4 linked regions of the Drosophila melanogaster genome follow. Changing the gene in region 4 together with the main gene of any one other region gives a genetic interaction. Each region holds a gene or a part of one and is shown on either strand. Other genes may lie near its edges. The genes, in order: CalpB, mtm, 14-3-3epsilon and if.

What was found.
Region 1: of if (region 4) and CalpB, changing one enhances a phenotype caused by changing the other (phenotypic enhancement), as found in Drosophila melanogaster (one study listed by BioGRID).
Region 2: of if (region 4) and mtm, changing one enhances a phenotype caused by changing the other (phenotypic enhancement), as found in Drosophila melanogaster (one study listed by BioGRID).
Region 3: of if (region 4) and 14-3-3epsilon, changing one suppresses a phenotype caused by changing the other (phenotypic suppression), as found in Drosophila melanogaster (one study listed by BioGRID).

Annotation. Positions count from the first base shown.
Region 1 is NT_037436.4:9,887,003-9,893,859, reverse strand, and holds CalpB (Calpain-B), read right to left. Parts: upstream 5,099-6,857; 5' UTR 4,577-5,098; coding exon 3,636-4,576; intron 3,570-3,635; coding exon 3,295-3,569; intron 3,077-3,294; coding exon 1,515-3,076; 3' UTR 541-1,514; downstream 1-540. Other genes in the region: CG6709 (uncharacterized protein), read left to right, coding at 80-151, 206-342, 396-540; Taf2 (TBP-associated factor 2), read left to right, coding at 5,291-5,340, 5,404-5,458, 5,521-6,857. UniProt on the Drosophila melanogaster protein: Calcium-regulated non-lysosomal thiol-protease.
Region 2 is NT_033779.5:6,034,222-6,038,916, reverse strand, and holds mtm (myotubularin), read left to right. Parts: upstream 1-1,901; 5' UTR 1,902-2,105; coding exon 2,106-3,639; intron 3,640-3,694; coding exon 3,695-4,020; 3' UTR 4,021-4,186; downstream 4,187-4,695. Other genes in the region: CG31643 (uncharacterized protein), read right to left, coding at 1-714; CG9117 (uncharacterized protein), read left to right, coding at 1,102-1,788; CG9109 (uncharacterized protein), read left to right, coding at 4,594-4,695.
Region 3 is NT_033777.3:18,240,790-18,248,721, reverse strand, and holds 14-3-3epsilon (14-3-3epsilon), read right to left. Parts: upstream 6,036-7,932; 5' UTR 5,877-6,035; coding exon 5,813-5,876; intron 1,290-5,812; coding exon 820-1,289; intron 752-819; coding exon 571-751; intron 508-570; coding exon 434-507; 3' UTR 143-433; downstream 1-142. Other genes in the region: CG7156 (uncharacterized protein), read left to right, coding at 6,664-6,759, 6,822-7,932. UniProt on the Drosophila melanogaster protein: Positively regulates Ras-mediated pathways. Acts downstream or parallel to Raf, but upstream of nuclear factors in Ras signaling. Three mutants have been isolated, that suppress the rough eye phenotype caused by mutated Ras1 (sev-Ras1 v12).
Region 4 is NC_004354.4:16,780,413-16,785,136, forward strand, and holds the start of if (inflated), read right to left. Parts: upstream 3,023-4,724; 5' UTR 2,906-3,022; intron 2,134-2,905; exon of another isoform or gene 2,058-2,133; intron 663-2,057; exon of another isoform or gene 452-662; intron 1-451. Other genes in the region: mRpL22 (mitochondrial ribosomal protein L22), read left to right, coding at 3,663-3,932, 4,006-4,219, 4,334-4,551. UniProt on the Drosophila melanogaster protein: Alpha-PS2/beta-PS is a receptor for Tig, wb and Ten-m. Involved in the function and/or development of the olfactory system.

The sequences.
Region 1 (6,857 bases), on a different chromosome or scaffold from region 4:
CTGCCAGGGGAAACCATTCTCGTTTGTACAAATTCGATTTAATACACTACACCACAACACCCAACACACATAATACACGATGGCCGATGATGAAGATAAACCAAAGAAGCACACGCTGGACAGCCTGTTCTTGGTGTATTCCAACTTCCAGGTATGATGAATGACCCGGTTAATTGAAGAGTAATTTTCATCTAAATGATGCCAGGTCATACCCACCGACATCGAGAACGAGTACTTTGACAGCATACTCCTCTCGCAGTTGGACGCCTGGCTAGAGCAGGCCAAGCTCATGCCCAATCCCATAACTCGAACTCAGACCGGTTTAATATACATGCGATACAAGTGAGTAACTACATCAAATCTACATATCATTCTTAATCAAATACATGTTTCAGGAAATGGCGTTTGGAGTACGAAGACTTTCTCGAGGTCCTAAATAACTTGGCATCCGATAACAATCTGGCTATAGATGAAATGAAGCAAATAATGATCGATGCTGGCGTCCCGAATGGTGCTGATGTAGTTATAGTCGTCAAGTAGATTGAATCATCACTGCATTTTATTTATATGCATACAAAAAGTCGGACAACAAATTATTAATAGTAACAATTGCATACAAGAGTAACTTTGATTAATTCACAAAAATTATAGTAAAATATAAAAGCATCCAACAAAAAGAGCCTCTAAACCCGATTGGTTAATTTCAGTTAGTTAAACACTTATTTTGACATAGAGGGTGCCTAATTAAGGTATGTTTTGAGATTACTGATCTGAAAACTAAATACAAAATATATGCGTATTACATTTTTTGATGTGATTCAATAAATTGACTGATATTCTGAAATTCTGCTTAAGCTTATAAATATTCGATGAGTTGGTTGGCTTGTTCGCTTCGCGTTACTTTCCTGATAATAATAACAACGTTTGTTTGGGTAACAGAGTTTGGCTGGACTTATTTCTAGCACCTGGGCAAATATGTGGACTGCTCGGAGCTAACGATGTTACAAAAATACATGCTTATTCATTCCGTATATCTAATAAATATTGTCGATGCGTTCTAATGGCTTTCCGAGCGTCTCATAGCGATTGTAAGGTAATAATGCACTGTTTGTACTAGTAAATTTCCGGCTCTTGACGAGGTGCATGGAGTGGATTTGCTATTGATGCTTGCTCTTAGTCATCCCTCCAGTTGCGCAGCATGGTAAAAAAAAATCTATAGCGTTAATTTTTTGAATTGTGTATGCGGGATTTATACTGTTTACCGTGCATACTCGTAGCAACCTCGTGCCGTTCCAAGGCCACTCCAATTTCGCCACATGATTTGTATTTCCGGATATGGTCATATAGATAAGATTCTCTTGTTGGCTCAGTGAGTGTATCTCTTTGCATCGCCGGATCGCATTGTCATGGATTTGTGTGTTGGCTTTCTCATTTGAATGCATGAATAATATGATGCACAGGTAGATTAAGTATACGTCGCACTTAGGATTAGATTAGTAGCAATTGCAAGTAATTTAAGAGTAAATTGTTCGCTCCAGCCAGTCGTCCAAGTTGAAGAAGGCCGTGTCCGAATTGTCCGTGTCCCGTTCGCGGAACATCTCGATGAATGTTCTAACCTTGATGGCACACATCAGGAAATCGTCGAATGGTATTTGTCCCTCCCGCGATCCGTAGCGATGGGCCAGGGCGTTCAGGAGCCGGTTGTTCAGATGATAGCCAGCCGAATTGAGTGCTCCGCGCAGATGGAATCCATCAATACTGCCAGTGCGACGGGTGTCATATAGCTTAAAGACCGCCCGCCACTTGGCAATATCGGTAAGCAGAGCTTCGAACTCCTCGAAACCAAGGCGACCGGAGCGATCCTTGTCCAGCATGGCTACCATCGAACGCACGGCATCCTTGGAGAAGCCATCACTGCCCACCATAACATCGCGCATAGAGTGGTCCAGGATGCGCTTCAGCTCCTGCCAGTCGACTTCCTCATCGCTGCCAGCCACGCTGTCGAACAGACGACGCAGTGCAATGCGCTGCGGATCATCCTCCTCCTTTGGAGTCGGTGGCGGCAGAGACGGAGCAATGCGATCGTCGGTCTCGCCAAAGCCAACCTCATCGTCGTTCTCCTCCATATTGTTCCTTGTCTCCGAGAAGACGCGAATAATGAACTCGCCCTCCTCATTCGGATCGAAGGTCGATGGAACAATCAGGTAGTGGCCAGGTGGCAACTTAAACCGGGCGCAAACCTCGCGCGTGTTGATAAAATGTGGTGAACGCGCCACCGATGCTCGGTACTTGAAGAAGTTGAGTCCCTGGGGCTTCACTTGCATGTCACGGTCTGTGAGATGATATATAGCAAATCCGATGGTCAGACAGTCGATGCCCACGTTGCGCTTGCTACGTCGATTCTTCTGCATAAGGGCCACAATAGCCGTGCATTTGCCATCGTCATCCTCGTCGTCGGGATCCTCCAGCGAAATGATGTACTGCGGATTGTGCCAGAAGGTTTCCAGGAAGTTTCTGCAACCGCCGGCTGTTACTCCCGATGTCCACTCACCCTCGAACATGGACATTTCCCACTTGCGGCGAGAGCTGTGCTGCTGATCCTCAGTCAGCGAGTCGGGCGACAAATTACATATCTCCACGCGATCAAAATGATTGAGGAAGTCCTGGAAGGACATCCAGAACTCGCCGTCCCTATCGAAATTCAGGCCAATCTCCTCCTTCGTGTGCTCCGGAATAAATCGCCACTCAGGCGAGCTGTCGCTCCACGGACCGCTCCATTCGGCATCGTTGCCCCATGGATTACGCATACGTATCATGGGCAATTTTCCCTGCCGATTGGGCGTCGATATGTCCATGAGGCACACCTTGGTAATGGAGTATGCATGACCGCGAATCAAACCTTGTGGCGTCTCCGCTTCCAGAACATGTGGATCCGGCTCCAAAGAGCAGCCCATCATCGAGCCACGCTCGGCGGCCTTCATCATGATGCTGAATAGATTTGGGGGCGCCTCCTTGATGTCGTACCACTCGGTGACGCCGCCAGTAAAGTCCTCCATGGCCTCGCACGTGGTGCCGCCTAATCGTGAAGAGATGGTTACAAAAAAATTATTAGAATGAAAGTATTTAAATTTCAGATCTATTCAACAAAGTCCTAACCGCGATAAGTGCCACATTAGTTTATTTTTTTTTAAGAACATATGATAAGCATAGTGTATTTTTAGAAACTAAAATAAATTTTGGTATGCCACAAATTTTCTACGCTTCTACAAATACTGATAATATTCCATTTCCTACCCTTGAGTGCTTCATAAGATCCATGCAGCTTTGCATAAGCCTTCTCCAGCAAGGCACTCCAAAACTCGTTCTTCTCCGTGGAGTGCATGTAGATTAGCTCGCCATTATAGGTGGGCAGACGGTCATCAATGACCACTTCCACCCACTTGCCATACTGCCAAAACTTGAAGTGAAAGATGCCAGCGTAGTTCTCCTGGAAGTCCTGATCCGGCGGGATTACCCTAAAGAAGAGCGTCGAGTCCTGCGTCAAATTGGCAGCTGCAGCCAGTAGCCAGCTGTGAAGGAATATTTAATTTTTGAATTTATGTCCACTTATGTGTTATTAATGCGTTTGGTCTTACCAATCGCCAAGTTCTCCTTGTTGCACATCGAATCGTGAATAGCCTTCCACGAAGAACTGCGGATCATCGGCGATGTCACCGGGACGCAGCCACTCGTAGTAGCGATCCGGTCGTCGTGAGTACATCAGCGAAGCGTTGGTGGCCGGAAAATCGGGATCCTCGAACATGGTTCCATTAGCCAGGCAACTGTCGCGCAGCGATTGGAAATCGCCTTTGCTTACGCTGTTCTGCCGGGCACTAGTGGCCTTGCGACCCATCCAAAACATGTTCTGGTTCTCGGGCACCTTCACGCTGGTGAAGCTTAGCTCGGCCACGCCGACGGAAGGTTCCTCCTCCTGGGTTGGAGCACTTTCCGGTGGCGGTGCCGTGGGATATGGTAGTGCTGGGAATCCGATATTGTGCTGGGGAGCCGGACTCGTTGGCATGGGAGCGTACGGCATTGGCATACCGGGCAAACCGGGCATGGCAGATGGATATGGTGCGAGCGGAGCCGCCGGATAGGGTAGATTGGGCTGCGGCATGCCAGTTGGATAGGGCATTCCGGTTGGATAGGGCGCCATAGGCGCAGTGGGGTACGGCAGCGATGATACGTTGGCTGATGGCAGACTAGGATAAAGTCCTGATCCAGGGTATGGCGTGGCACTGGGGTATGGAGCCGGCGCTGAGGGGGCTTCTGGCACGGGCATTCCCATGCCCATGGTGGGTCCCGCATACGAAGCATTCTGGGCATGACTCGTCTGCTTTACCACATATGGCATTCCGCCCACGGATTCGGATGATGGATAGGGCAACGAGGGGTAGAGACCCGCTTTGGGTTTGGGAGCTCCTCCTCCTTCGTTCCCGCCGCTGACTTCATTCTTGCTGTAGCCCAAGGCCGCCAAATTGACAAGGCCAATGCCACTGGCATGATAATTCTTGGGGTAATTATCAATGCCGTACATTTTTACTGGTTTTTCGCTGTGGTTTTCCTCGTCCACGCACTGGTTTTTCCCTAAATCTAACTACTAATGGCGTTGCAAATCGGCTAAAACTACGGAACTGGATGATATCCAGATGTTTATTAACTCGCTGCCGTGGTAAAACTGCTGACTCGCTGAGAATCGTACGCTTTAAATGGGAGAAGTATCCAAATTTAACTTTCTCGGTAAATGATTCATAATCTTTAACCCTTGCGCGTTCTGTATAAATTTTCTTTGAATATGCATGTGCAATCAAAAAAGCTTTGAAAATGCAGAATGAAATATTTATAACATTCTAATTCATTTATTAACTCAGAAAATATATTATAGAAATATTAATTTTGTTTTATTAAACAGTTTCAATAAAAACAAATATAGCTTTTAATAAATTTTAGTTTTCTAAAAAATGTATTTTTATGGTATTAGAGAAGTAGTTATGTAGTCTATATTGTTTACGAACGTAAACTATTAAATTAGTGTCAATATTGAAGACCCAACACGTTTCGAGGGTTAAAAAAAGGCGAGCAGGGCTACATTGTCGCGCAGAGTTGCCATCTTTATCCGAATGAATTTGGTATTTTTTTAGCCCTGTCGGCATTTTCAATAGAAGAAGAAGAAGTTAAACAGTGCTGTGTTTTTTTTTATAACAAACGCAAATTAGTTAATAAATTCTGGCGCAGAACCGGCATTTGAGCGATGGAAACGCAACCTGAGGTGCCCGAGGTGCCGCTGCGACCGTTTAAATTATAAGTATTCACCCTGCTCTGTTAGGAATCCAAAAATAATGAGTTCTCCCTTTTGAATAGCACGGCGCATCAGGTTGTGAGCCTCACGGGCATCAGTTTCGAGCGGAGGAGCATAATCGTAAGGATATAACTTAGATACACTTAAATATGTACAAAACATAACACACCTCCTCCCTTTAGGGCGTGGTCGAGCTGACCATTGTGCCGAACAGCGAGAATCTGCGCCTGATACGCCTGAATGCCAAGCAGCTGAGAATCTACAGCGTCGTTTTGAACGATGTCTGCCAGGCGGATTTCACGTACTTCGATCCCTTCCAGAACATCTGCTACAAGGAGCACAAGAGCCGCGCGCTGGAGGTCTACTCCAAGCATCATCTGACCGCCGCCCAGTACACCGATCCCGATGTGAACAACGGCGAACTGCTCATCCAGGTTCCGCCCGAGGGCTACTCTATGATCCAGGAGGGTCAGGGTCTGCGCATCCGCATCGAGTTCTCGTTGGAGAATCCCAAATGCGGCGTACATTTTGTCATACCACCCGCTTCAACGGACGAGGAGACACAGATGAACAGCTCGCATATGTTCACCAATTGCTATGAAAACTCGTCGAGATTGTGGTTTCCCTGCGTGGACAGTTTCGCCGATCCCTGCACCTGGCGGCTGGAGTTCACTGTCGACAAAAATATGACCGCCGTTTCGTGTGGAGAACTTCTAGAAGTCATTATGACCCCAGATCTGCGAAAGAAAACCTTCCACTATTCGGTTAGCACACCAGTATGTGCACCAAATATTGCGCTGGCTGTGGGTCAGTTTGAGATCTACGTGGATCCGCACATGCATGAAGTGACCCACTTTTGTCTGCCCGGATTGTTGCCGCTGTTAAAAAATACGGTTCGCTATTTGCACGAGGCATTTGAATTTTACGAGGAGACCTTATCTACGCGCTACCCATTCAGTTGCTACAAACAAGTGTTTGTAGACGAATTGGACACGGACATAAGTGCCTATGCCACTATGAGCATTGCTTCGGTGAATCTGCTGCACTCCATAGCTATCATCGATCAGACCTATATATCTCGAACCTTTATGTCGCGCGCTGTGGCTGAGCAATTCTTCGGCTGCTTTATTACATCCCATCATTGGTCGGACACCTGGCTGGCCAAGGGCATTGCGGAGTACCTGTGTGGATTGTATTCCAGGAAGTGCTTCGGCAACAACGAGTACCGTGCTTGGGTGCAATCTGAACTGGCGCGTGTCGTTCGCTACGAGGAGCAGTATGGCGGCATTATTCTCGATTGCAGTCAGCCGCCAGCTCCTTTGCCTGTTTCGGGCACAAATCAATCGGCGGCTTCCAGCAAACAGCAGGAGATTGTCCACTATTTTCCCATCAAGAGTTTGCACACCGTATCGCCGAAGTATGTGGAGGCGATGCGAAGGAAAGCGCATTTCGTAATCCGGATGCTGGAGAACCGCATCGGGCAGGAGCTGCTGATTCAGGTGTTCAATAAGCAATTGGC
Region 2 (4,695 bases), on a different chromosome or scaffold from region 4:
GCACGTGGACAGAAGGCGAACCTGCTCTGCGCTGCGACACCAATTGATGTGATGTTCCAGGTGCGGAATAAAGTTCCTACACACAAGCGGAGTGAAGAAGTCGCGTTCCAAGTTGATGCCCACCGAGAGGCGAGACAAGGAGGTCAAGGGAATGACTTCGTCATCAACTTGTGACTCGATTAATTGAAGAGATCTCGTCAGCACGGCCTCCACGACTGCCTCGGAGTTTGGTATATGCATTTTGCGCAGGTACAGGTAGCATCTACTGAGATCATCGATCTCCAGTTGGTGTACATAAGGGGCCAACTTTGGGAGCACGTTAAGCAGCACGCGATCCGTGATGGCATCTTTACTTGCCTGCTCCGCGTCGTGATAGATGTTCCACAGCAGTGAGATTCCCATCACCACATGGGAGCTCTGCAGGCCGTCACAGCTCTCCAACACATCTAAAATCTGGTTACCCGTCTTGGCCTCCTCCAGTCGGGTTAGAAGAGCATCCTGTTCCCGTGGCACGCCAAACTTGTCTTGGAGATCTCCGTTCACCAGCTGCGAGTGCTTCCTCAGTTTTTGGCCCAATGCCGGCAGCAAGGCAGCTGTTTGGATGGGCGGCTTTGCGCCAATGTTAACGTGCCGTCGCAGGAGCTGAAGCTGACGCACTCGCAGAAGGTATTGTAGGTACTTCCATTGTGTCCGCGGCAGGTGGTTCAGATACATGCCACTTTATCTCACGCTTATTCAGAAATCGTTGAATAATAACAAAATTACGCCGTATAAACATGTGAGTGAATTTTTGGCGATCAGCTGGTGTCGGTGTTGCCATGAAATCCTAATTTCCATTATACTGAAACCAATAATGGAATCAATGTGTAAAAAAAAACTTAAAATAATTTCTGAACTGTGATTAGCGGTATACAAGTTAGATAAGTAATTACTTAATTCGTAAGTAATTTGTTTATTTCGTCAAAAGTTTCATAGTGGCAACTCTAGTTTTCAACAGGTTGTTGACGAGTTGACATTTCTGTTTGTAAGCAACAGCTGATAAGCAGCTGACCCTAAATAATTTAATAGGCTAGAGCGTTATCGTTGTTAAACAACTAAACAATGGCATACACTGATCCTGCGCAACGAAACCAGGTGACCGTGCTCCAGGTCGGCTATTCTCGCCAAGAAGAAGGAGACGAGTCCGCCATGCGGGCTAACTGCACATGCACACTGGTCCGCTGCCGGGATGGCACCAACATAATCGTGGACACACTGACGGCCTGGGATGGAGATCACCTGCGTTCGTTGTTGGGCCAGCAGGGACTAGGCGTCGATGACATCCACGTGGTGGTCTGCTCTCACGGACACTCTGACCACATCGGTTGCAACTATCTGTTTCAGAAGGCACGAATGCATTTGGTCGGCGCATGTGCCTCACATCACGACCTCTACATGGACCACCTTGGTAGTGGTAATCCAGACGAGCAACTGGCCCTAGATTCGAATGCCGAGGTGGTAGTGAGGCGGTCGCCAGGACACACCCTCAGCTGCGTTTCAGTTCTTGTGGAAAATTCCCAGCTGGGTGGACGGGTCGGTATCACCGGAGATCTCTTCGAGCGTCGCGAGGACATCGACGATGAGAACATTTGGATGGACGCTGGAAGCGAAAACGAGAAGGTGCAGCGCGAGGAGCGCAGTAAAATGGCACAACTGTGCGAGTTTATAATCCCAGGACATGGTCCGATGTTTTCTGTCACACAATCAATGCGCTGTAAACTTAAAGAAGACGCCACTTCTAACACTTAATTTATTAAGCATTAAATACATATGTTAGAGATTTTTTTAAAAGCGGAATTGTTCTAGCTTTCCTTGATTACCAGTTAAATGTCTGAAATAAGTTGATTAATTCCAATACATAAAAATCAAATTTTCCGCCACTACATAATGTCCCTTTGGTACTTTTGTCGGAGGAATGGGAAATTATTCCAGATGATTTTATATTGCGTGAGTTGGCAGCACTGCTGCATGAGTTTTGGTGAATTGCATTTAGCTAACAATTGGAAAAGAAAACACAGCTGCAACCAGCAACACAATAGCCAAACACCACTCGTGTCCATCCGAAAATGGATCCCTCCGCGAGCCTGGCCGACAAGTTGGCCTCCAAGACTGCCAGCAGCAACTCTCTGGACAGCAGCTCCAAGTCCAGTTCGCTGGGCTCCAAGCACGGTGGCGGAGAAAACGGCATTCTGCGGGACACGCCCTTCGGCTATCTGGAGGGCGAAGAGGACCAGGACCAGAAGAACGACGTGACCTACGTGTGTCCGTACCGCGGCCCCGTCTTCGGCGCTCTTACCATAACCAACTACCGTCTGTACTTCCGGTCGCTTCCCCTGCGGGATCAGGAGCCGCCCGTCGTCGTCGACGTGCCTCTGGGCGTGATCGCGCGTGTGGAGAAGATTGGAGGTGCCACGTCTCGCGGTGAGAACTCGTACGGCATCGAGATTTTCTGCAAGGACATGCGAAACCTGCGATTCGCCCACAAGCAGCAGAATCATTCGCGGAGGACGGTGTTTGAGAAACTGCAGGCCAACGCCTTTCCGCTCTCGTACAGTGGGCGCCTCTTTGCATTCGCCCACGCCGCGGCCAACTCTGTGAACGGTAACGGAGGCTGGGACGGCTGGGCGGTATATGAACCGCTGGCGGAGCTGCGCCGCTTGGGCGTTCCCAACGATATGTGGCGGGCGACCAAGCTAAACGAGTCCTACGCAATTTGCGACAGCTATCCGGCCGTGTGGGCTGTGCCCAAAGCGGCCTCCGATGATTTCCTGAGGCGCGTGGCACAGTTCCGATCGCGCTGCCGCCTGCCGGTTTTGTCCTGGATGAACCCACGGACTCAAGCGACCATTACAAGGTGTTCCCAGCCGCTGGTGGGTGTAAGTGGCAAGCGAAATTCCGACGATGAAGCATACCTAAGCTTTATCATGGAGGCGAACGCCCAGTCAGACAAGTTGACCATCATGGATGCGCGACCAAGCGCCAATGCGATTGCTAACAAGGCCAAGGGCGGCGGCTACGAGTCAGAGGACGCGTACAAGAACGTGGAAATCAACTTCCTCGACATACACAACATCCACGTGATGCGGGAGAGCCTACGCAAAGTGAAGGAGGCTTGCTTCCCCACCACCGACGACTCAAAGTGGCAGACGGCTATTGACAACACACTGTGGCTAAAGCACATTAGGTGCATCCTGGCCGGCGCCGTTAGGATTGTTGACAAGGTGGAGACCATGAGCACCTCCGTCGTAGTTCACTGCTCCGACGGCTGGGATCGCACAGCCCAGCTGACTGCTCTTTCCATGTTGCTGCTCGATCCGCACTATCGCACAGTGCGCGGTTTCGAGGTTCTCATTGAGAAGGAGTGGCTCTCCTTTGGCCACAAGTTCCAACAACGCATTGGTCACGGCGACAACAAGCACTCGGATGCAGACAGATCTCCGGTGTTCCTGCAATTTATCGATAGCGTCTGGCAGGTTAGCCAGCAGTTCAACAACGCATTTGAGTTCAACGAGCACTTCCTGATAACCATCGTGGATCATCTGTACTCGTGCCGCTTCGGCACCTTCCTCTGCAACACGGAGGCCGAGCGTGTGGCCGAAGGTTAGACTGATTGCTGTTTGCATGGGCTTGGAAGTAATTTTCACATTTATTGTAGATCTCAAGCACAAGACAACATCCCTGTGGACGCACATCAACTCGTCGCTGGACCAGTATTTGAATCCACTCTTTCCCTCGTTCACGCACGGCGCCGAGCTAGTGCTGCGTCCGATTGCCAGCGTGAGATCGGTCCGCTTGTGGAAGGGCCTATACTGTCGCTGGAATCCTGGTCTGTGCGCTCCTCAGCATGGCTGCCAGCGAACCCGCGAACTGCTATCCAAGCAGGACCAGCTCTTTAAGCTCGTCAACGAGCTGCGGCTCAAGTCGAACAACCGCAGCAACAGCATGCAGACAACTACGCGACTGGCCTCGCCTATGCACTAATAGTATTGCTTTTTTATTCCCCCTACTTGTACGCATATGTAGTGCACGTATTGTGAACTACGTTCTAATTCCAAATAAAAGTTTTTCTTAAATGGAAAACTAGTCGATTCAACATTGTATCATTGAACCACATTATCGAATCTAATTAAAGTGTTAAATGTCTGAGAATGTTTTAATTATTTCATGAATAACATCATATAGTTCAAATCGTATAGCGTTTTCGCAGCTCAGTGGAGCTACTTTTATATGTGCCTTAAACTAGTTTGGATGTCAAAAAGATACCTAAACAGGTGACCAACTGTTGCACGCTCCTTGTGATTCATTCATAAACACCGCTTCATAGAGGCGCCTGCGCGTTGGACTACGCACGTTAAATCCCGAATCCCACTTTTGACACCACAGGACACAAAACATTTCGGCTTTGCGCCAAAATTAAATCACAGCTGCCTCAGTACGACATCGCACGTTCATTGGGACAGACGTGTTCCGATTTCCGGTAGGAAAAGGGCAGGTGTTTGTAAAATATCAGGAAATGCGTTCGGAACTCTTAGAGTTCCGCAATAGATATTAGTTATGCCTACTAGGATATGTGTGCTGTTTGGGCTTCTGTGCCTCGCAAGCTTATGCTGCGGTAGTAACAAGCCAGGAGAGGTGCTCCTGGTTATCGCCTGTCCC
Region 3 (7,932 bases), on a different chromosome or scaffold from region 4:
CGAAGCGACGCCAACTTAATAGTACCGCGAATTTTTTATGTTGCGATTCGATTCTGGGCCGCAGCAACAGCCGCGCCACGCCCACCAGGCCGCCCAATTTTCAAACATTTTGCTTGGATAGTTGTTTTTTTTTTCTGTTTTTGTGCTGTTGTTTTCCATGCTGTTTATTGTGGATGACAATTTGTGTTCCTGCTGCTTTGCTTGCTGTTATCATGTTGCAAATATGTTGATACACATACGGGTGCTGCTGTTGTGGTGATCGACTGCTATGGTTGTTGTTGCCGCATTGGTTCCATGTTGTTGTTCTTGAAGTTGTTGTCGTGTTGTTGTTGATTTTGTTGTTGTTGTTGTATGCATATATATTATATGGTATTATATTTACTTTAGAAGGTATATAATGTGTTTTAAATGGAAGGGCGGGGGTTTACTTAAATTACGACACGTCCTGATCCTCAACATCCTGGATTTGCTCTTTGGGCTCGCCATCACCTGCGTTGGGGTCTACTTCTTAGTATAATATTTAGAACTTAATAACGGAGCCGAACAAGTGGATGTGATATTACAACTTACCTTCTGCCTGCATATCGGACGTCCATAATGTGAGGTTGTCGCGCAGCAGCTGCATGATGAGTGTCGAGTCTTTGTAGCTCTCTTCGCTCAGTGTATCCAACTCGGCAATGGCATCATCGAAAGCGGCTTTCGCCAAGCGGCAAGCGCGGTCCGGCGAGTTGAGAATCTCATAGTAGAACACCTGCAAGGATTTTAAAATATATATATAGAAAACATATGACGACATCGTGTCTCTTCACAATCACTCACCGAGAAGTTCAATGCCAAGCCCAAACGGATGGGGTGTGTTGGTGGCAGATCGTTCATGGCAATATCGCTGGCCGCCTTGTAGGCAATCAGCGAGTTCTCTGCCGCATCCTTGCGGTCGGAGCCGGTGGCGAATTCGGCCAGGTAGCGATGGTAGTCGCCCTTCATCTTATAGTAGAATACTTTGCTTTCGCCGGATGTGGCGCATGGAATGAGATGCTTCTCGAGCACGTTCAGTATATCCGAGCAGATGTCGCGCAGCTCCTTCTCCACCTGTCCGCGGTAGGTTTTGATCATCTCCAATTTCTCCTCGGCCCCCTTGTTCTCCTCCTTCTGTTCGATCGAGGTGATGATGCGCCACGAGGCACGGCGTGCTCCAATCACATTCTTGTACGCCACCGACAGCAGATTTCGCTCCTCGACGGTCAGCTCTACGTCCATGGAGGCGACCTTCTTCATGGCCTCCACCATTTCTGTAAAGAGGACATAACAAATGAAAGGTGTGGTCTTTAGTATATAAGAGTAAATGTTTACAATAATCAAGTGTAACATCTCAAACCAAATTTAAGGGATTGCCCATTAACTAACGATTAGTTTAATCATTAGTTCGCATATATGTATATTCATTCTGCAATGCCTAAGGAAAATATACATCATTAAACAAATACTTCATTTGAGTGAGTAAGAAGTAATGTTTATGATGTAGTTTAAACAATGCTATCGGACGCTATTTTATCAACAATTTCGTAGAATACAAATGTTTGTTTGATTGTTCATATAATTTTTGAATTGCTTTCATATATTTCATGTTAAGATTAAAAATAAAAACCAAACATTTCAATTGGAAAGCCAACAAGATACATACATTATATACATTTTGCGTAGATAAATTTATCCAAGGTATGGAAGGCTTGTTATCTGGACTTTCCTCCCGCTTGTCCTTGTCCCCTCGCGACAGCCTAGACTACCTATTTTCCATTTCTTATCGCCGACACGCCCAATCCGCGATGATATATAAGTTATGCAGATATATTTATGCATAAGGTGGCGTTGCGTCTACGCCTGATTTAGCTGGTTCTGTCATACCAATACCAATACCAATACCAATACGGGGCCATCCAATCAGCCGGTGATAAGGGCTTCCGCCACATTGTTGCACCCAATCCTATCGTCCCCATCGGGGGCATCTCTATCTGCGTCTGCATCACCATCTAAAACTGCGTCATGAATCACATGTTCGGAACTCAACACGGAAGCAAACAAGGAGCTCGTTTATCAAATTAAAGTGAGTAGGTTAAGAGCTGATATCATTTGGCCATTTCATTTCCTTTTTCGAGTCAGTCAATTGAAGTCTAAATATATTTCGAAGTTCATTTAAATGCTTTTCGGGCATATGATTAGTATTTGGAATTATGCAAGATTAGTTTTTGATATCTGACCAAAGGAAATGTAAGATATTTCCGAACCAAATCATCTAAATTATCATTGCAGTGCTGCCTGTCTGGGTAAAGCCAGTTGCAGGCTAACTATCTCGGGCATATCTGGTGGCTGATAACAATACAGAGCTAGACTACACTACTATTCAAAATATTGTAATTGTAGCGCGTTTGCTGACTTGCACTGTCTGCCCTCTCTCGCTCGCACCCGCTGCCCGTCAGCTGCTGACGTATTTCGCACACCAACACCCCCATACATACACACACACTAGCACTCACACACAAAGACATCGGGACATTTGCCGACTGTCTGCTTATTAGTGCGATTTTTGTTGTAGCACGTATTTGTGAAAAATTGCCAATAAAGTTGCATGATTCACGAATATTTGTGGCTGTGATTGAACTTCAAACATTGTTGTTCGCATTGGCGGGCTGTTTGAAACCAATGTGGATGATGATGTGCACACGCATTTTACAACGCTTGCAAGCTATGCTGAGTTACGCATAAAAAATGAACTTGAGAGTGGGTAGGGAGGGGGAAGGGGAGGGGGAGCGCAGTTGGGTGGTGAAGGGTGGCTGGGATCCTTGCAACTTTAAAAGTATACAGCACATGTTGCTTAGTAGTAAGTAATCCACAACCAATTATGAGACATGCGCGTCAGACCAGTCACTAAATCATGTACATATAGCAAGGCGAAAATCAATAAACGCGTCCCAAAAATAAAGAGCCAAGTCCCGCGGGCATGATAAATCATTTGCGGAACCACGAAGTGGTAAAAAGAAATGTATGGAAACTTCTCGAATCATATGAACTTTCAGTAGAAAGTGCAAAGTTCACGAAAGTCTAGCAAATTTGGCGAAAATAGTATGGAATAGATTCTAAGTAGATTCGTGAGTAGTTGAACTACATTTGAAAAGTATTCATCTTTTTTATTATAAAAAATGATTAATCTTTTTCATAAACAAGTTGATTGCAAAGATGAGCGTGGTCATCTCAATTGTGTTGTTTTTCCAAGAAATAAGTATTGGAATTTGATAAACTAGCGACAACCCTGCAAAGGCAATCCACCACCACCCAAAAGTAAAAAGAAGTCACGCGAGCTGGAATGAAATATTGGGACGAAATAGGGAGCAAAAGGAATGGGCAGGATTTTCCACCCCCTCCTACCAACACGCCCCCAGAGATCCACCCCTCCCTTATGAGACGCCTGTGGGTGTGTCTTGCGCTCGTGTGGGTATGAGTGCGCGTGGTTTTGTGTGTGTGTGTATGTGTGTGTGTGTGAGTCGCATAAGGGCGCAGCAGCTGAAAAAACATGCGCACATACCGTTACAGCGGGCAGAGAATGTGTAATTAGACAAAGGAAGCAGCAACAACAGCCCCTAAAATGGTGCAATTTGAGCAAAAAGCGAGCAACAAACAAAACACACCTAACACCACCGCCACCCACCGCCCATCAATCAACCGTATGTATGCTACTTTTTCCACTCATTTTTTTTTTGTCTGCCTTTTGCGCATATTGACGACATTGACGAGAACGAACATCAACGGAAAAAGCAGCGCGCGACCTCGAAAAAAATGTAGATAGAACGCAGAGAGCGCAAGATGGAAAGAGCATGGAGCGGGGGATGGTGGGCGCAGGGGGCAGCACCTGAGAAAGCACACTTAAAGGCTGACGTTAATGTGTGCAGAAAAGGGGAGCAGGGGTTTGAAGAGGAGATGAGATCAGGGGCGGAGAGGGCGAGGCAAGTTCAGATTGGGGGCGCAGACATTGCCGGCTGGCGGCTTTGCCGCTCCGCTTCGCTCTCCGCCGCGCTCTTTCTCTCTCTTCGCGCGCAATGGTATTGGTGCTCCAGCATGAGCTCCACCGCAAAATGTCCGAGTGTGACAAGGCCAACGCCAAGTGCTGCACACCAACGCACACCGATGGGCGAAAATAAGAAGACAAACATGTGATACAGACACAAATATCCCCACCAGTGGTGTATGTATGCATGTATGCCCTGTTTGTGTGTGCTAATAGTTGATTGACTTCTTTGCCGCCGCCACCGCCCGTTAATGTTGTCAGTTTTGCAGGCAATTAGGTGCAGAGTACCGTTTGCAATTATTGTTGCTATAGTCGCTGCCCAAGTACAGCAGCAGGAAGGAACGGCAGACAGAGGAATCGCCAAATGTTTGTTAACTTTTTACAGCCACTGTGCAGCGTCGCCGACACTTCGACACACTAGCCATCTCGTTTTGGCGCACGCAGCGTTTATGGCAATTGGTTAAGCGCGCGCTTTTTGCAAATGCCGAATTTGCCGTCCCCCTCCCACTGCGACTTTCTTTGCATTTTGAGCTGGCTTTTTAATTAATTGGAGTATTTTTAATTAAATATAAGCAAAGGCTACAGAAGAAGCAACAATAAAAACCGCCCGGCGGACACTCATCGGCACACGCACACCTCCGTACAAACACACACACACACGCATGCATACATGCGCATAAGCATGAGTAATGCGAGAGTAACAGAAGAAGCACAGAAAAATTTTATATTTCCTTTTTTCGCATTATCAGATAGGGTTGCCAAGTGGCCGCATAACTGCTTGCAACTAGCCGCAACTAATTTGCATAAATAAAGAATTAAGCAATAGGCAGAAAGTGAGAGAGGGAGACAGCCGGCGACACAATCGATTCATTCATCGATTTTTCGCAGCAACGGCATGGTGACGACGCCGCTGCTGCGCATGAAAAGCACATTTCGTGGAAAAAAAGGGGGAGGGGGTCTGAAAGAGAGGACTGCACCTACCCCTGCCCCACAATCATTGATTTTGGGTGTGGAATAAGTGTATTTAAGAAACTAGAATCCCCAAAAAATGTGTCGTTTCTAGAAAGTTACGCCTTGACAACTACTAAGAAAGAAAAAAAAAGAACGCGAACTGGAATCAACTGCAAACAGCCCTTAGCAACCAAGGAAGAAAATAAAATGCTAGCTGCCGCGCAGCCCTTGCTCGCAACGCCAAATACACAAAATTTTCCCCTTCTAAACTAATACTATATAGTTCCAAAAAAGAAAGAGCGGAGCAAACTATTTGCTGTAAATTATAATACGCAATTCCGTTTCTTTCTCTTTTTGTGCAAAACCACGCGAATTTTTGCCGGTAAAAATCAGGTTTTACACTCTATTCATCTCTTTTCGTTCTTCCGACGCTCTGCTTCTTCTTCGGCTTCTTCCTCTTCTTACTGTTTCCTCCATCTCCCGTTCTTTTCGCAAGAAATACTACTCATCGCGACGCTGCGTCGCTTCGAATGCAGCTACAGCGATGAAAATTGAAAATTTCCATCGTTTTCTCTGGAAGAAAACCTTTTAATTGGCACATTCGGACGAAAAGCGGAGCTCTAGACTTTTTCAACGACCACGCGACGACGCAATGGATCGGGAAGACAAAAAAAAATCCCAGGCGACCCCTCCCCAAAAACGTTGGCGCTCCTCAGTCGAGAAAATTTTTTCCCTACTCTACTAGCATTTGTCTACCGTTTTCTACCATTTTTGCTACCATTTTTTTTCGGAATCACTACTCACCGTCGTAGCGCTCGGCCTGTTCGGCCAGCTTTGCCTTGTACACATTGTTCTCGCGCTCAGTCATTGTGTTGAAGCCTTTTCGGTAAAATTAATCCACAGAAAAAATTATTTAAATGCTCCCGGTACGTGCGGCGTCGATTTTGCTTGCTGCCTGTGGTTCGTCGCCTTCTTTTTTCTCTACTTCTCGAGCGGTGTGACCGTATCGGGCGGCGGTTGAAACACTAAAATTGATGGGCGATGGCCTAATGACGGACTTAAAAACGCATCACGCGTTCCGTGCGCATGCGCAAGCGATGGTGGTAAAATCGGAAAAATTTCTTTTTAAAATGGTATTTCTATCTGGATATTACTTGTGAAAATCCGTTTGTGTGAAGCTTTTATTCGGAAGTTTTAAAATGTTATAGTAAATTGACACATTTAAAAAAGCTATAGCTATAAATATGTTGTATTAAATGAACACATGAAGCAATGTCGTTAGCAGGGACTTCCACCTTTTCTGTGCAATTCAATTTGTCATTAGTCATGACATAACCCACATGCACTGCAGACTATCGATACTTATGATACTTTCGATTAGAGTATAAATTTTAAATTTTAAAATGTGACCGTTTTTTATTTTAAATAAAAGTGTTTAAAAAACAGTTAATATTTTTATGGTTTAATTTAATCCTTCTAAGTTAAAAAAATAAGCTACTAAATGCTCTTATTTAATTTCGAAGTCCGGAAGTGGTTATTTTGGCGTCCTTTGGTCACACTAGCTTTAATGTTGCAAAAAAGTTGGGGAACAACGACATTTGATATGGGAAATATGTTTAGAAACTAAACCACCAGGTCTTGCAGCAGAAACCAGAATGACTCTCAACCTGGGCGGCTGGATCCACAGCTTCACAGTGACGGACACCCAGGAGCACAAGGGCGGGTACACAATATACAAAATCACCTCGATTGTAAGTCGTTTTTTTTGGGGGCAGATGAACTGTTCCAAATAGTAAACCTCACCCACTTTTAGGTCTTCCCAAGGTCGGTACCTCAAGCTCTGACCTGCCTGGTGGTGTGGAAACGGTTCCACGATGTCAAGCGGCTGCATCGCGAGCTTAGCCGGCGCCACAAGAGTCTCCAACTACCCGGCAAGTTGCCAGTGCCCACAGATAGCACATATTTCAAGAGATTCGATGCGGCAGTCATCCAACGGCGTAAGGAGTACATCCTGCAATTATTAGACTTTGCAGCGCAGCATCCGGCGCTGTACAAGTGCTCAACCTTCACACAGTTCTTCCAGGAGACACCCTCGCCAAACGGATCGCCACTTAAGAAGCTATATGTGGAGCGATCCCTGCGGCTGCAGACGGAAGACAATGGCTGCGGAAGTGGCGGTTCGGAAACAGGAACTTGCGCTGGTGCCATAGCCGACATTTGCGATAAACTAGACTTGCCCTATGACCCACACGACGCGGGGGGCATCACGCCTCTAGATCCGCGCTGTGATAAGGAGCAAACGAACAACGAATCCCAGGCCAAAGAAACTGAAATCGAATTAGAAACGAAACAGGAGCCCAAGACAGACGTAGCGCTGACCAAGAGGGATTATCTCCGCCTTCTGACGCCCATGGCTTCCATAGAAAGCGACGACAGCGACTACATATATGAGGCGGCTCTAGAGTTCAGTCATGCCGTCCAAGCGGAGGTTAACCTGGAGTATGCCGAAGCCCACGAGAGGTACAAGCATGGTGTGGACCTGCTGCTCAATGGGGCCAAGCAGGATAGCAGTGAGGAGCGTAGATTTATAGCCAAGGCGAAGATAGCCAAATACTTGGCGCGGGCTGAGGAGATTCACGCCAATTTCCTGGCCAACGATTGTCCGACGAAGAAGCTGCAGTTCCAGCTCTCGCTGGACACGACAGACGGCGGTAGCGTGAGCCATTTGGAGTGCCCCTGGAATCAGTTGGCACGCTACAAGGTGCTGCAGATTCTCCAGGACCGTGTGATGCAGGTGCAGTGTGTGACGAAATCCCAGCAGCCGGCTGCCATTATGAAGGGCGTCGAGAAGCCGGCCAGTCACTCGCTGACCCAGAGCATCTTTCTGCCCCAGCAGGTGCCTTACATGGTCCAACTGCTGGCCT
Region 4 (4,724 bases):
TTTTTAGTATCTCCACATATCTCTATCTCAACGTCTGCGATCTTCCTCTCTCATTCGCACCCACTCGCCCGCTCTCTCTCTCTCTCTCGCTTAACATCATAATCAAGATCTGTTGGCCTTGGGAATCGCGGAGTGGGCGGGGTGGTTAGGGCTGGTCGGATATCTAATGTCTGAAGTCGGATGTCGGGCCAATTACGAGTATCTTTATTACACGGTTCAGTTTCTTTTCAAATTATTCGTTACTATTAAACTGTCAATGCCAAAAAATCAATAAAATGCATGTCATCCGATAATTTGAACTTATTTTTATCGATTATTATTATATTATTAGGTTTTAATTATATTTCTTTGCATGTAAGGTTGTTTATATTATATTTTTATATTTAGTAGCTTTTGTTTTCATTAAAACGGTTTCTTGTTAATTTTTTAACAAATCACTTTAGGTTCTCACTTCTTTTTATTATTTATTTTATTTTATTTTTTTTTTGTTTAAATGATTTCAATCATCTCCTTTTCACTGCAGCAAAATGCTAGGGTATCAGTCGGGTCGTTCATATATTGTTGTCTAATTCTAAAATCTGATTTGTTGTTTTTAGACATTTTTGACGGTTTCATGTTTGCTTTTGGATTTTTTTCTTTTTGCTGCATGCTTAGATTTTGGCGCGTTCTACGCTCAGCATCGCGATGATGGTGATGGTGACGTAATGGGCCGTCAAACAGGTTGGCCAAAATAACAAAATAACGGCCAAAAAGCCATTAGACTTTTAGCCAGATTGAAAGCCAGCCAGCCAGCCCTTCCCACACAACTTTAGTTTAAATTGAAGATAACTTTCAAGGAAAAGTTGAAAATGCAATTGGTATCGAACGATTCAAAATATTATTTCAGTTGCAAGTACTTGAAGAAATCAAGACCTTAAGTAAGTATTTGAGCTGGATATTTTTTGCAGTGTACGTAGGTTTCTGTGGCGGAAAAGAATCCCACAAGTTGTAGGCGGTTTTGTGCAGGTGACATTTGACACATTTTCCACTTTTTATGCCCAGTTTTTCCGCCGAGTGTGGGCGATTCGAGTTCATTGATGGGCGGCTGCCATTCATAGACAAGAAAATGAATTATAATTAAGCGAGAGAGAGGAAAAAAAAACAACCTAAAAATTCGCTGTAGAACGCGCCATATGGTGTACACCATTTAACATTCAACAAATTGATCATGCGGCTGGCATTCAAAATGACTGGCGAATGTGTCAATATAAATAAGACAGTTAATTTCGTGGCCCACAAATTGCAGGCTAAAAATTGAAATGCGTTGCCAGGCGAACACAATTGTTAACTGAAAGTTGCTAAATTTGCATAAATAACTTCCTAAGCGTGCAATTTGCATTTAAATGCAAAAGCTGGCGAAAGTTTCTAAAAATATTTCTTCGTTTCCCATTTATTTGATCATCATTTGAACTTGTAACTACTAATTAACGAAATAACCTTCAGTTTTGAAGTAAAAGGTTTGAGACCCTTTTTGAACACTTCTCTTCTTTTTTTTGCACATCAATTGAATATATTTGGCAACAGTCACTACTGGAATTGCCATACAATCTTGCCCAGATGGTTAAGATATGAATACGAAAAAAAAACACATCAAAATAGTGGAAAAAACGATCATTGTCTAAAAATAAATCTAAAAAGTTGGAAGCTGTGTGCTACGCCCAGCAGAGTCCGCCTATATCTAGGTATATATGCACATGTATATATAGACGTGCATATACAGATCGAATTCTACACTGCACAAAATGTCGGAGGTGCAAACACAGCTGCGACATTAGTTTATTGATTTTGGCTTTTGTGTTTGTGTTTTTTTGTCAGATTTTGTTTAATATGCGTATATTTTGGGAATTTATTTGGTCGGTGCACTTTTCACTGGTGCTGCAACACTGGAAAAAAATGTTTCAAGCAATTTGTTGGCGCGTCGCGTGTTGTGCTGTTAATAAGTAAAGTTCACTTTCAATTGGTATTGTTTGTATTATTTATATTTTGATTTGCTATTTGACATTTGGTGTTTGCTCTACCTCGGCAGCGAACGCAGCAAGATTTAAACGACGACTAATGGCGCACAGTATCTGTAAGATACATCTTAGCACCGCCAGAGATACATGGGTGAACTGCTCGTGCCAGATCGCCTACTCAATACCCAACCAATGTAGTCTCTAGTTTTTAGACTCGGGAGAGCGATCTCGGAACAAACGCAAAGCTCTCAAACAACCAAAACGATAGCAAAAGTTTTATTTTTTCATTATCTACACATGTATGTAGCGAGCATCCCACTCGAAAAAAATTTCAAAGGTGAGTTTCGTGTGGGAAGTCTGTAATTTCCGTTAGCAAAAGTTTCGACCATTTGATGTGTCATTTTGTTGGGCCATATGTACATATGGAAGAACGTTTATTTCGAAAATGGAATCACATATAAATTTATGATTTTTATGTTCATATACACAAGCTTATATCCATTCGGAAATTAAAAAAATGTATATATTTTTTAAAATTCGAAAAAGGTAAATACACTTTTTTCAAAGTTTTAACTAAATGAGCTTTGAAATCTATAAGTTTTAATTGCACGATATGCAACATTTTCGCATGTGCGTTGGTGCAAATTAATTCTGCCTCGAAAATGAGAACGCTGCAGTGAAAATGGGTTTTCCCATTTATCCAGATGGTTTAGATTCGCAATCACGAGATCTCGGAATGTAGTGCAATTCGACTATACGAGCAAATTCGCCGGCTAACCGAGGCAGAGCAAACTGGCAATGCAAATTAATGAAAACAAACAATGAGCCCTCGAAACTCCGGTAAACATTTTCGATGGCTGGATATATGTATCAGATAACACGCAAATATAAATGTTTCGCCGTTCAATTACCATCGATTGCATTTGCATACGCGAATTTGAATCAAAACTGGCGCCCGTTGAATTTCCGTTTCGAACGCGAGCGCTCCGCACTTTACACCAGGCAACTTTCGCTTCACGCCACCGAATGCAGCACTCAGATGGCTAGCAATTCCTCAGATACAATTTCAAATTTCACGCAGGGATGCCAGATCGTTGGGCGATTCAAAAGTGAGCGCGACGCGCTGTTGAGAACGATCAACTTAAGTGTATAATATTGAACTAGAATAGTTACATAGTGCATAAGGAATATTTATGTCTTTCAATTTTAATATACTTTAAAGATGGTCAATTCCAAATGGGTACTTTAATTGTTAGGTTTCATATTTTTATGAAAATGTGTATTAATTGCTAATTTGTGTGGAGATAAATGTTTCCGTTTCAATGCATTATTTTAATGGCTTCTAAATGTGAATTGCTGATATGCTCTTATTTAAGTTAATAATTTTATGTCGTACCAACTTGCTTTTACAAGTTTTTTTTTAAATCTAATAAATAAATATATTTTCAAGCAATATCGATAGCGCTGCCAGATGTTTACATATCCTAATCAAACGCTGCCATACCGCTCGCAGATCAGCCGCTTGTGCGGTACGTTTTAGGTCCACGGCATACCTGCTGCCATTGGTCACACTGGCAGATTACGCGATTATTTTTTTTACGGAAAGTCTGCGTTTTCCCTTCCGGATTGAATTGCCTGGATTTGCTGTGATAACTCAAGCAAGCTAAGATGCACAAGGTGATCCGGCAAATGTCCCAGCTGCGCCTGCAGGCGCCACAGGGAGCAGCGCTCCTCCGATCGGCGGATAGCAGCTCAATATCACCAGCCATATCACCAGTTTCACCACCTGCCCTCCAGTCGAAATCCCTGCACACGGCCGCTTCCGCCGGAATGCTGTGCGCCAAGTGGAACAAGTACAACTACGGACCCCGCAAATGGCTGGAGTACAACAAGACCGTGCATCCGCCGCAGGAAACGGACGAGGAGCCCAGAAATGCTGTAAGATACATATTTCGAACGCACTGCTGTTACCCCTCCAGCTGCAATCCTCTAATCCACTTGCATTGCACAGTATGTCTGCCACATGCGCAGCAACATCAAATACAGTCCGGACAAGATGTGGTACATCGCTGCCTTTGTTCGCGGAATGTCCGTCGACGAGGCGCTGAAGCAGCTGAACTTTGTGCTCAAAAAGGGGGCCACCGATGTGAAGGAGACCATACTGGAGGCCCAGCAAATAGCCGTGGAGCGGCATAACGTGGAGTACAAGAGCAATCTGTGGATAGGTGAGCCGCAGGGGCACAAGGAATCTATGTATCCACTATGAATGATGGATTATCATTAGTTTCTTCATCACTAACCATTATATTGATGAATCTTTGTCTGTTCTTACCTACCAGCCGAATCCTTCGTGGGCAAGGGACGCGTCTTCAAGGGCGTGAGGCGGCATGCTCGCGGTCGCTTCGGCAAAGTGGAGTACAAGCACTGCCACTACTTCGTGCGCCTGGAGGAGGGCGAGCCGCCGCAGCACTACTACCAGGAGCCGCAGACGCCGGAGCAGCAGTACGAGAGCTGGATGGAGCAGATGCGAAGCCGGAAGATCATCAACTCGCTGTAGCCACCTGAATTGGCACTCGTATGCAATCGATCCGCACTCCTGCAGTCCTCCATCGCCATCGCGTCCACGCGCATTAAGCATTTTTTTTGGTTTTAGAAGATTGTTTAATAAAATAGAAACAGACAAAAGAACTATGTCAGAGGTTCATATTGTTCTTATTTTTACTTAGAGGA